2 linked regions of the Schizosaccharomyces pombe genome follow. The protein of the gene in region 1 purifies or fractionates together with the protein of each later gene. This does not show direct contact. Each region holds a gene or a part of one and is shown in the gene's direction. Other genes may lie near its edges.

Evidence for each region.
Region 2: the proteins of ysh1 (region 1) and cft2 purify together in Schizosaccharomyces pombe (affinity purification with mass spectrometry, with the first as the bait; one study listed by BioGRID). This does not show direct contact.

What each region holds. Positions count from the first base shown.
Region 1 is NC_003424.3:3,620,145-3,625,489, reverse strand, and holds ysh1 (cleavage and polyadenylation specificity factor complex endoribonuclease subunit Ysh1), read left to right. Parts: upstream 1-1,779; 5' UTR 1,780-1,845; coding exon 1,846-1,893; intron 1,894-1,947; coding exon 1,948-2,034; intron 2,035-2,080; exon of another isoform or gene 2,081-2,083; coding exon 2,084-2,181; exon of another isoform or gene 2,182-2,314; coding exon 2,315-2,443; exon of another isoform or gene 2,444-2,484; coding exon 2,485-3,385; exon of another isoform or gene 3,386-3,429; coding exon 3,430-3,976; exon of another isoform or gene 3,977-4,019; coding exon 4,020-4,483; 3' UTR 4,484-4,729; downstream 4,730-5,345. Other genes in the region: pof8 (LARP7 family RNA-binding protein Pof8/Lar7), read right to left, coding at 413-1,621; sideroflexin Fsf1, read left to right, coding at 4,833-4,895, 4,936-4,961, 5,010-5,119, 5,233-5,306. UniProt on the Schizosaccharomyces pombe protein: Component of the cleavage factor I (CF I) involved in pre-mRNA 3'-end processing.
Region 2 is NC_003423.3:1,127,143-1,132,394, reverse strand, and holds cft2 (mRNA processing protein Cft2), read left to right. Parts: upstream 1-1,921; 5' UTR 1,922-1,969; coding exon 1,970-2,342; exon of another isoform or gene 2,343-2,405; coding exon 2,406-4,426; 3' UTR 4,427-4,441; downstream 4,442-5,252. Other genes in the region: met7 (putative folylpolyglutamate synthase), read right to left, coding at 1-95, 142-168; SPOM_SPBC1709.16C (aromatic ring-opening dioxygenase), read left to right, coding at 323-416, 572-879, 935-1,243, 1,317-1,499; ngl1 (peptide N-glycanase), read right to left, coding at 4,555-4,853, 4,899-4,937, 4,983-5,142, 5,189-5,252. UniProt on the Schizosaccharomyces pombe protein: RNA-binding component of the cleavage and polyadenylation factor (CPF) complex, which plays a key role in polyadenylation-dependent pre-mRNA 3'-end formation and cooperates with cleavage factors including the CFIA complex and NAB4/CFIB.

The sequences.
Region 1 (5,345 bases):
TCGGTATGCTAAATTAATATATAACATACAGAAAATATTTCATTTTAAGACTGTTAGCAGTGAAGAATATTACGTTTCGTAGTTAAAAGGCGTTAAGGAAAATACAAGCCGGGAGCAACAATGATGTACAGAATATGTAATTAAAATCTAAGTAATAGAATTTTGCAATTGTGGGGTGGTAAACCGTTTTTACATATTTGTGGTTCATGGTTTATTGGAATTTTTGCTGATCGCAATAGGTTATCAGCCAAATGAAAATTAGAGGGGTTATTAATACAAAAAACTGTTAATGCAAATTTAGTATTAAAGTGAGAATAACGACCGTGTTACCTTTTTGTATGCCTATATTACCAGAATATATTATAAAGTAGTAAATAAATCAAATTAGTATTACCAGAGAAAGGAAAACATATTACTTTTTTAACATACGCCAATAATTCTTTTCTTCTTCTCCGGTAATTAGCTCAGCAATCAGGAATGGACGGCTAGATCCCTTTTTCCTATGTGCCCGAATATCATCATGACTGTTTTGTTTCCTTTCTTGTGTACGAAACGCGTTGATACACGTCTCAGCATGAAGCGGTGTTTTCCAACGTATTATCGCCTCTGTTTCGTCCTTCCTATAGTCTATATACATGGGCTCACATGCAATATTCTGAGTTTGCCGCGAAAAAACATAACTCAAGAGGCTGTGAATAGTAGATTTATTAGTTAAAGGATGGAGGTTCTTGATACGGGTCAAAAGATTCTTGGTAAAATCCAAATTATCTTCATCTTTATCAGTTTGTGAGGTTTTGGATACAGACTTGGTCATTTGTTTTTCTACTTTAGTAAGTTTGGGATAACGATTTTCAGGAAAGGAATTGGATGAATTTGAAACGTCTGAAGATGACGCTTTTACTAAATGGAGTTGATTTTCAAAATATTTTTCTTCACGATTTGTCCATTCTTTACGAGTCAACAGTACCCATCCAGGAGGGACAGGCAACTTGCTAAGTGCTGATTGATCAACCTTTTTGTACAAAATTACAAAAGCATAACCTTCAGGAGTACCGATAGCATCAACATAGGGAAGGAACTCTTTGAGGTATTTGCGAAGTTTCCCAGCCAAAAGTAAACTTTTATTAGACAGAGTAGCCGGAACTGGTTCAACGTAAATAATTCTATCATACAGTGGTATGTCAAGAGGAAGAACAATATTCTCATTTCTAATAACCATGTGTGAGGAATTATCGAAATGAAACAGCGCATTAGTAACATAAGATAAAGCATACTTCAAGTTATTTTGCGTTGGATTCGGGCGGATTCCTTTCCAGAAATCATCTTGCTGGATTAAAAAGGCCAAGTGCACTTTTTCTTTTTGCCTTTCTCGGTGAAAATAAATTTCTAATATAGAATCAACGGCTGATAAAAAGTCAGGATTTAACGGTTCAATAAGCTGTCTATCTTGTTGATTTAACATGAGTCCTCCGCTTATGGAATGACTTGGTTCTTTGCTGGCTTCATTATGTTTGTAATGCTCATCTTTCAATTTGTTGTTATTTCCATCTGCAATAGAATTATTTTCCTTCCCTGTAAATGCTTTAATTTTGCGAACATTCAGTTGCCTTGGCACAAACATTTTACTTCGCTCCTTAAAGTACGGTTTTCTAGTATCAATTAAAGTGAAGTCATTAATAATAAATAGAATTAGGTGCTCTTAATTAAAAAAAAAAGGGTTGTAAATTTTTGTTCTGCTTTCTCCCAATTTATGTTGAATGCGTAGGTGAAGAATAACTCGCGCTTGCCCAGCACCCACGACCTTGTCTTTCCAATTGTGGTTTTTAGACAAAAGCCCTTGGAAAGATGTCCAAAAGAAAGGAATTTGATGAAGATGCACCTGTAGACCCATCCGTAAGCCTTGAATTTACGATTTTTTATAAGGGCCTACTTTCTAACCAATGTCAGGATTTACTGGAGTTTATTAACTTGGGAGCCGGAAATGAAGTTGGTCGCAGTTGCCATGTTATTCAATACAAAGGGAAAACAGTAATGGTATTTTAATTTTTATTTTGTTATGATTGTGAATGCTAATTTTTGCTAGCTCGATGCCGGTGTTCACCCTGCGTATACTGGGCTTTCAGCTCTTCCTTTTTTTGATGAGTTTGATTTGAGCACTGTAGATGTACTTTTAATTAGCCAGTAAGTCCCTTTTGTACCACTACTTGAGACGACCATAGGTTATTAGATTAGAGTACTTCTTGTACCAATTACTATTATGGTCCCTTAGGCATTGATTCATTTTTTTTTGAAAAGTATTTCTAACTTAAGCAAGCTTCCATTTGGATCATGTAGCCTCGCTTCCCTATGTTATGCAAAAGACGAACTTTAGAGGTCGTGTCTTCATGACTCATCCTACAAAGGCAGTTTGCAAGTGGCTTTTATCTGACTACGTGAAAGTGAGGTATGTATTCTTAGCTCTGAGTATTCATTAACAACTCGCAGTAATGTAGGCATGGAAGATCAGCTTTACGATGAGAAAGATTTGTTAGCCGCTTTTGATAGAATCGAGGCTGTTGACTACCATTCAACTATAGAAGTTGAGGGTATAAAGTTTACACCCTATCATGCGGGCCATGTTTTGGGTGCCTGTATGTATTTTGTGGAAATGGCTGGAGTCAATATTTTATTTACAGGCGACTACTCACGAGAAGAAGATCGCCATTTGCATGTCGCTGAGGTTCCTCCTAAAAGACCAGATGTGCTGATCACAGAATCCACGTATGGTACAGCATCTCACCAACCAAGACTGGAGAAGGAGGCTAGACTGTTAAATATTATTCATTCCACTATTCGCAATGGAGGGAGAGTTTTGATGCCTGTCTTTGCTCTTGGAAGAGCTCAGGAGTTATTACTCATTCTCGATGAATATTGGAATAATCATCTCGATCTTCGCTCAGTCCCTATCTATTATGCATCATCGCTAGCGAGAAAGTGTATGGCCATTTTTCAAACTTATGTTAACATGATGAATGATAATATTCGAAAAATTTTTGCCGAACGAAATCCGTTCATCTTTCGTTTTGTCAAAAGTCTAAGAAATTTAGAAAAATTCGATGATATTGGCCCTTCTGTAATATTGGCAAGTCCTGGTATGCTACAAAATGGTGTTTCAAGAACCCTCTTAGAAAGATGGGCTCCTGACCCTCGAAATACGTTACTTCTTACTGGTTATTCTGTTGAAGGGACAATGGCAAAGCAAATTACAAATGAGCCTATTGAAATTGTGTCACTTTCAGGCCAAAAGATTCCTAGAAGAATGGCAGTGGAGGAACTTTCTTTTGCGGCTCATGTTGATTATCTTCAAAACAGTGAATTCATTGACCTGGTAAATGCCGATCACATTGTATGTTTAGTTACTAATGTAACGTTAAAATTAACTAATTATAGATTTTGGTGCATGGTGAGCAAACAAATATGGGTCGATTAAAAAGTGCTCTAGCCAGCAAATTTCACAATAGAAAAGTCGATGTCAAAGTATATACCCCTCGAAATTGCGTACCGTTATATCTTCCTTTCAAAGGGGAACGGTTAGTGAGAGCTTTGGGAAAGGTCGCTGTTCATAAACCAAAAGAAGGCGACATTATGAGTGGAATTTTAATTCAAAAGGATGCCAATTATAAATTGATGTCAGCTGAAGATCTTCGAGATTTCAGTGACCTTACTACCACCGTTTTAACCCAAAAACAAGTCATTCCATTTTTTTCGAGTATGGAGCTTGCAAATTTCCATTTAAAACAAATGTTTGGATATGTCAAACAGTCAAAAACAAAGGCAGGACAACCTCAATATACAGTAATGGACGCCATTACTTTGACTTTAATCCAAGAACATAAGCTTGCTCTTGAATGGGTTGGCAACATTATGAATGATACAATAGCTGATTCAGTAATTACTATTCTACTAGGCATTGAAAGCAGTCCTGCTTCTGTCAAGTGTAAGTCTGCGTTTAATGTGGAACAATTTCTAACCATTAATAGTGACGAGCCATAAATGTAACCATTTGCATTCGCATTTAGATAAGCCTCCAAAAGTATCAAAGGAGGAAGATCGTATTAAAAAGCTGATGATGTTTTTGGACAACCAATTTGGCGAAAGTATGACTAAAACGGAAAAGGGGGTTGAAATCAAATTTGAAAAATATGAAGCGTCTATTGATTTTTCGACTATGAAAGTTGAATGTTCAAATGAAGCGTTACGATCTAGAGTCGTACATGTTTTATCCCGTGCGATCAATACTATCCTTCCATTTTCTGAAGCTTCACAAAACGACGTCTCCGAAGATGATTTTGAAAATGAAGAATCTGACGATGATAAAATCTTTGAGCAGCAAACGAAAATAGAAGATGATGTTAAAAATGAAAATAAGACAGAACCAGTTGAAGAACAGAAAAGCGAAGAAAAGAATGAACAGCCCAACCTTAAGAAAGAAGAACTTTCTTGAAAATTATTTACGAACGAATCTTTGCCTTTCATAGCCATGACACTTTTATGGCTACCTTCATTTTTTGCTATTTAAGTCTCAGTAGTTATCATGCACTCTGGTATTTCTGTTAAAAAATGCTGTTTCTTAGTCATGCGTGATCGAATCTTTAATTTATTCTTGCCATTTACGTCAAAGACAAACAATTTAATAGCCATTCCAAAAAAATTGACTAGTACTTAAAAAAATGCTATAACTATTTAGATTTTTGTAAGGAAAACTTTTTTTGTAGCTATTATGAACTCCAAAGACACTACCAATCGGGTTAATTAAGCAAATTTTTGTACCGACTACCAACACCAACACCACAATGTCCAGCAATAAGCTGCCCACCTCTAAGTATGACTTGTCCACCTATTGGGGACGTGTTCGTGTATGTTATATTACTCTTTGTATTTATGCTAATGCGGCAGCACGCTATGGATATTACTGATCCAAGGTAATTATAATTTAACTACATGATCGTTTGAGCACCTAACATCTGTAGGACACTTCTCTCTACATCTCAAGATTTAAATAGCGCCGTCAAAACTCTGGAAGACTATGGAGCGGGTAAAATTGCACAATTAGATGAAACGGTTTGGCATGCAAAGAAAAGTATGTAGTTATACGATACAAATCCGATCAAATGTTATATTATTTGATTAGTTATTTTTTTTGTTATTAAATATATTTTCAAATTAAAAAAAAAAACATATTAACGATTTTAGTTGTTGATTCAACTTTGCATCCCGATACTAAGGAACCTGTTTTCTTACCATTCCGAATGTCATGCTTTGTCTTGGTAAGATAATACTATTTAGTGACTAAATGCTAATCATTA
Region 2 (5,252 bases), on another chromosome or scaffold:
ACCATCGACTGATCATTTGGGATCTTTCCCCTTTTCCTAAGCACTTCCAGCACTTTTGCATTGGATTGCAAAGAATTTAGCCGATTGATAGCTCCCTTAAAGCATTAGTTAGTAAGTGATAAACAAAAGGAAAACTAATACCTCGAAAGTCTTGGTTTGTGGATTCATGCCAATACGAGAACTTTTAAGGTTGAAATACCTCTTGACGGGTTTGGCAGTGTGCATACTCGCCTACTGGAAAAACAACAGCGTTAGTAACACCACCCAAAAGCCAGTGGAGTCAAACGATTTAGGCTATTTTGAAATTGAATTTAACGGGACTATGGCGAGTTCTCGACTATTAGACTGGATGTCTCGTATGAGGTCTGTTCCTCAACTAGAAAGGCTTATTCCAGCTCTGTATTTAGCGCATGGATGTAAGTATATTGAATCAACAGAAATTTATATAGCAGACGCATAATATGCTGAGTTAATGGAATTTGCTGACTGACTTCATCAAACTATCTCTCAATTTCATATAACTCGATACATAAACACTTTATTGATACTAGAATAACTAAAAATTGTTTAGCTCCATTTTTGATGTTACCACAATCATCGGATGATGAGGTTTTCAGTAATGATTCTAAGCTTGGAGGGTTACATTATCAGTTTTTAGAACAGTTAGGACCCTTTCTATTGGAAAAGTTTAGACCGAAGGGAATAATCGTCTTTTCTGCACACTATGAGTCTCGTGGATCAGTTGAAGTATATTCGAGAGACGATGAAAACCCACTTTTTTATGACTATTACGGATTTCCAGATTATTTATACCAGATCAAGTTTCATTCCAAAGGCTCCAAGCGGATAGCCGATCAAATAATTTCTGCCCTTAAAGAAGTATGCCAACGCAGAATCTTTTCTGTTTCATAGATTATTGATGCTAACCCAATAGTACCAAATTCCAGCAAAAACTGTTTCAGGTGATCGTGGATTGGACCATGGTGTTTTTGTGCCATTCAAAATCATGTTTCCCGATGGACTTAATATCCCATTAATAGAGGTGAGCATGCATACCCTAGATCCCATGCAGCTATATAAAGTAGGACAAGCATTGCAAAGTTTGCGGAAGGAGTATTTGATAGTTAGCGGAGGACTCAACATTCATACTTTCGAAGACCTCTCTGCATTCAATGAAGATACGGCAGCTGATGGATATAAAGAATTCCAACTGGATATTCTAAAAGCTATTGAGACTGATAAGGTATGTATGTTACTTGTCGTTGAGGATGAGTGCACAATATTTTGAACTTCTTGTACTAATTTCGAACCTATAGCAAAATGATCGTCTGAATAAATTATTAGGATTACAGCTACACCCTTATTTTCGAAAAGCACACCCACGCGAGGAACACTTTGTTCCATTATATGTCGCTGCGGGCCTAGGAAGCTCTGGGAAATCTAAGGTCGTTTGCGACCTCTATGGCGCCGTCTCTGCTTTTTTTGGAATCGATGAATGAATCAATGTCTAATTTACAGTTATTTGTTATTACAGAGTGATAATTTAAAAGCTAAAAATTATTTTGATAATTCACTTAATGCTTTCAGGACAATTTTCGATTTGATGAACCATTTCCTAAAATTAGCGCATTTTGAATAAATCGCCAATTGATAATCTATACCAGTCACTTATAACTCAACTCCTTACATGGTATATTTTTAATTAATGATGTTACCAAGAAACCGTATTTAATAAACATCCGTCTTTGTTAATATATAAAAATTACGAAGCCGATTTATCCAATATGCTCGTTGAATGATTTAGATTAACTAAAGATTTAGTTATAATAAAGACATTAAAACTGGTCAATTTAGAAGATTGACAAGTTTTCATATTATAGTATCGCTTGGATATATTCTTTCTGATAGCCATCCAACCCCCACTGTTTACTACCATCGAGTTGTAAAGTCCTGTCTTTGGGCAATAACCATGCTCAACTATCAATGTTTAGAGACAGACTCCTATTGTGGAACATCTCATATTGAGTTAGATGGAATTCATATCTATATAGACCCTGGCAGCGATGATTCATTAAAACATCCGGAAGTACCCGAACAACCAGATTTAATCCTTTTATCTCATTCGGATTTAGCACATATAGGAGGATTGGTTTATGCTTATTATAAATATGACTGGAAAAATGCGTATATATATGCTACTTTACCAACAATTAATATGGGTCGGATGACTATGTTGGATGCAATAAAATCCAACTATATTTCAGACATGAGCAAAGCTGATGTAGATGCTGTTTTTGACAGCATCATTCCTCTTAGATATCAACAACCCACATTACTTTTAGGTAAGCAATTGTTCTTGTGAAAAAAGTCTTTTGAACTTTTGATTATACTAATTCATGATTTAGGAAAATGTAGTGGGCTAACCATTACTGCTTATAATGCTGGACATACCTTGGGAGGAACTTTGTGGAGTCTTATAAAAGAATCAGAAAGCGTTCTGTACGCTGTTGACTGGAACCATTCTAAAGATAAACATCTAAACGGCGCTGCCTTATATTCGAATGGCCATATATTAGAAGCTCTCAATCGACCAAATACTTTAATTACTGATGCTAACAATTCACTCGTATCTATCCCTTCCCGTAAAAAGCGTGACGAAGCTTTCATAGAGTCTGTTATGTCTTCTTTGTTGAAGGGCGGTACTGTTTTATTACCTGTAGATGCCGCTTCTAGGGTATTAGAATTGTGTTGTATTCTAGATAACCATTGGTCTGCTAGTCAACCGCCTCTACCATTTCCTATATTATTCCTTTCCCCTACATCAACAAAAACTATTGACTATGCTAAAAGTATGATTGAATGGATGGGTGATAATATAGTTCGTGATTTTGGGATCAACGAAAACTTATTAGAGTTTCGAAATATAAATACGATTACAGATTTTTCTCAGATTTCTCACATAGGACCCGGACCCAAAGTGATCCTCGCTACCGCGTTGACTTTGGAATGCGGATTCTCTCAGCGAATTTTGTTAGATTTGATGTCTGAAAATTCAAATGACTTAATACTGTTTACACAAAGATCCAGATGCCCTCAAAACTCACTTGCAAACCAATTCATCAGGTATTGGGAACGTGCTAGTAAAAAGAAACGTGATATTCCTCATCCAGTCGGTTTGTATGCTGAACAAGCTGTCAAGATAAAAACGAAAGAACCTTTGGAGGGGGAAGAATTGCGATCGTATCAAGAACTTGAGTTCAGCAAGAGAAATAAAGATGCGGAAGATACCGCTTTGGAATTTCGTAACAGAACCATATTAGATGAAGACCTTTCATCATCATCTTCTTCAGAAGATGACGACTTAGATTTGAATACAGAAGTTCCCCATGTGGCTCTTGGATCTTCTGCTTTCCTAATGGGAAAGTCTTTTGATTTGAACTTGAGAGATCCTGCTGTCCAAGCTTTACATACCAAGTATAAAATGTTTCCATACATTGAGAAGAGAAGGAGGATAGATGAATATGGAGAAATTATCAAACATCAAGACTTTTCTATGATTAACGAACCTGCTAACACATTGGAATTGGAAAATGATTCAGATGATAATGCTTTATCTAATTCTAACGGAAAAAGAAAATGGTCCGAAATAAACGATGGTCTACAACAAAAAAAGGAAGAAGAGGATGAGGATGAAGTTCCTTCTAAAATTATAACAGATGAAAAAACTATCCGAGTTTCATGTCAAGTTCAGTTCATAGATATTGAGGGTCTGCATGATGGACGTTCTTTGAAAACTATTATACCACAGGTAAATCCTAGAAGACTTGTCCTTATTCATGCTTCAACTGAAGAGAAAGAAGATATGAAGAAAACGTGCGCCTCTCTCAGTGCTTTTACCAAGGACGTTTACATACCCAACTATGGTGAAATCATTAATGTTAGTATCGATGTTAATGCATTCAGTCTTAAATTAGCAGATGATCTTATTAAAAATTTAATTTGGACTAAAGTTGGCAATTGCGAAGTTTCACATATGCTGGCTAAGGTTGAGATCTCTAAACCTTCTGAAGAAGAAGATAAAAAGGAAGAAGTTGAGAAAAAGGACGGTGATAAAGAAAGGAATGAAGAGAAAAAAGAAGAGAAAGAGACACTTCCTGTTCTTAACGCCTTGACTTTAAGATCAGACTTGGCAAGAGCGCCCAGGGCTGCTCCACTTTTGGTAGGTAATATTCGGCTTGCCTATCTCCGTAAAGCACTTTTAGATCAAGGAATTTCTGCTGAATTGAAAGGAGAAGGTGTTTTATTATGTGGGGGAGCTGTTGCCGTAAGAAAACTCAGTGGTGGTAAAATATCCGTTGAGGGCAGTTTGAGCAACCGCTTTTTTGAAATTCGAAAGTTGGTTTACGATGCACTTGCTGTCGTTTAACTAATGTATGAAAAAAAAATTTAATTAGGATTACATAAAAAAAAAGCTAGTAACTAGAAAGGATTCATGTACAACATAACTAATAAATGTTTGGTAATAGAAACGGAACGTAAAGCTTTATGAAACAATCATTTTCCTGCTTCCCCTCTTTTCTCTTTCCATTCAACATTCCCCGTTTGTCTTGCTGGCAGGTCAGTGTTAGTGGGCGTGGCCTGGGAAACAGGACGCATATAACCATCAAGTTCATCTTTTTCACGTTTGTCTTCCTCCTCTAGAGCCTTACGTTCAGAATCAGTTAGTCGGGACCGAAACTCAATATTAATCTCATGCAAAGCCTGTTGTAGGACAGATTCGGGGCATCGATCACGAGGAAGACCATTCTCAGGGTGACGAATATATCTATGCGATACATCGCGAACACTATCGACTATTTTTGCATTAGTAACAAATAAAATTAAAACCTTTTCCGTACTCCCAAAACCCAAACAATATGACATCTTCTTTCCCCAACCTAATGCTGTTAGAAATCAAGTTTTTCAAGGAGTTAGAACTCTACCTTGTTCGTATATCAAAGGTTCATCGAATGATTCTTCACCACTATCGACATGCACCCAGCGTTGCTGTTTATTACTATAGACTTCCGTCCACACATGGTCCTCAGCATTCCAAATCCACCTAGCTCTAGATCCAAGTGCTCTGCATAGGAAAGTGAAACACTAAGAAAATGTTAGCTTTATATATTTATAAATATTTTTAACTCACGTTGGCCCACTCTCCACATCTTCCCTTCCTTGAATCAAGCAATGCTCGAATGCGATTATACCTG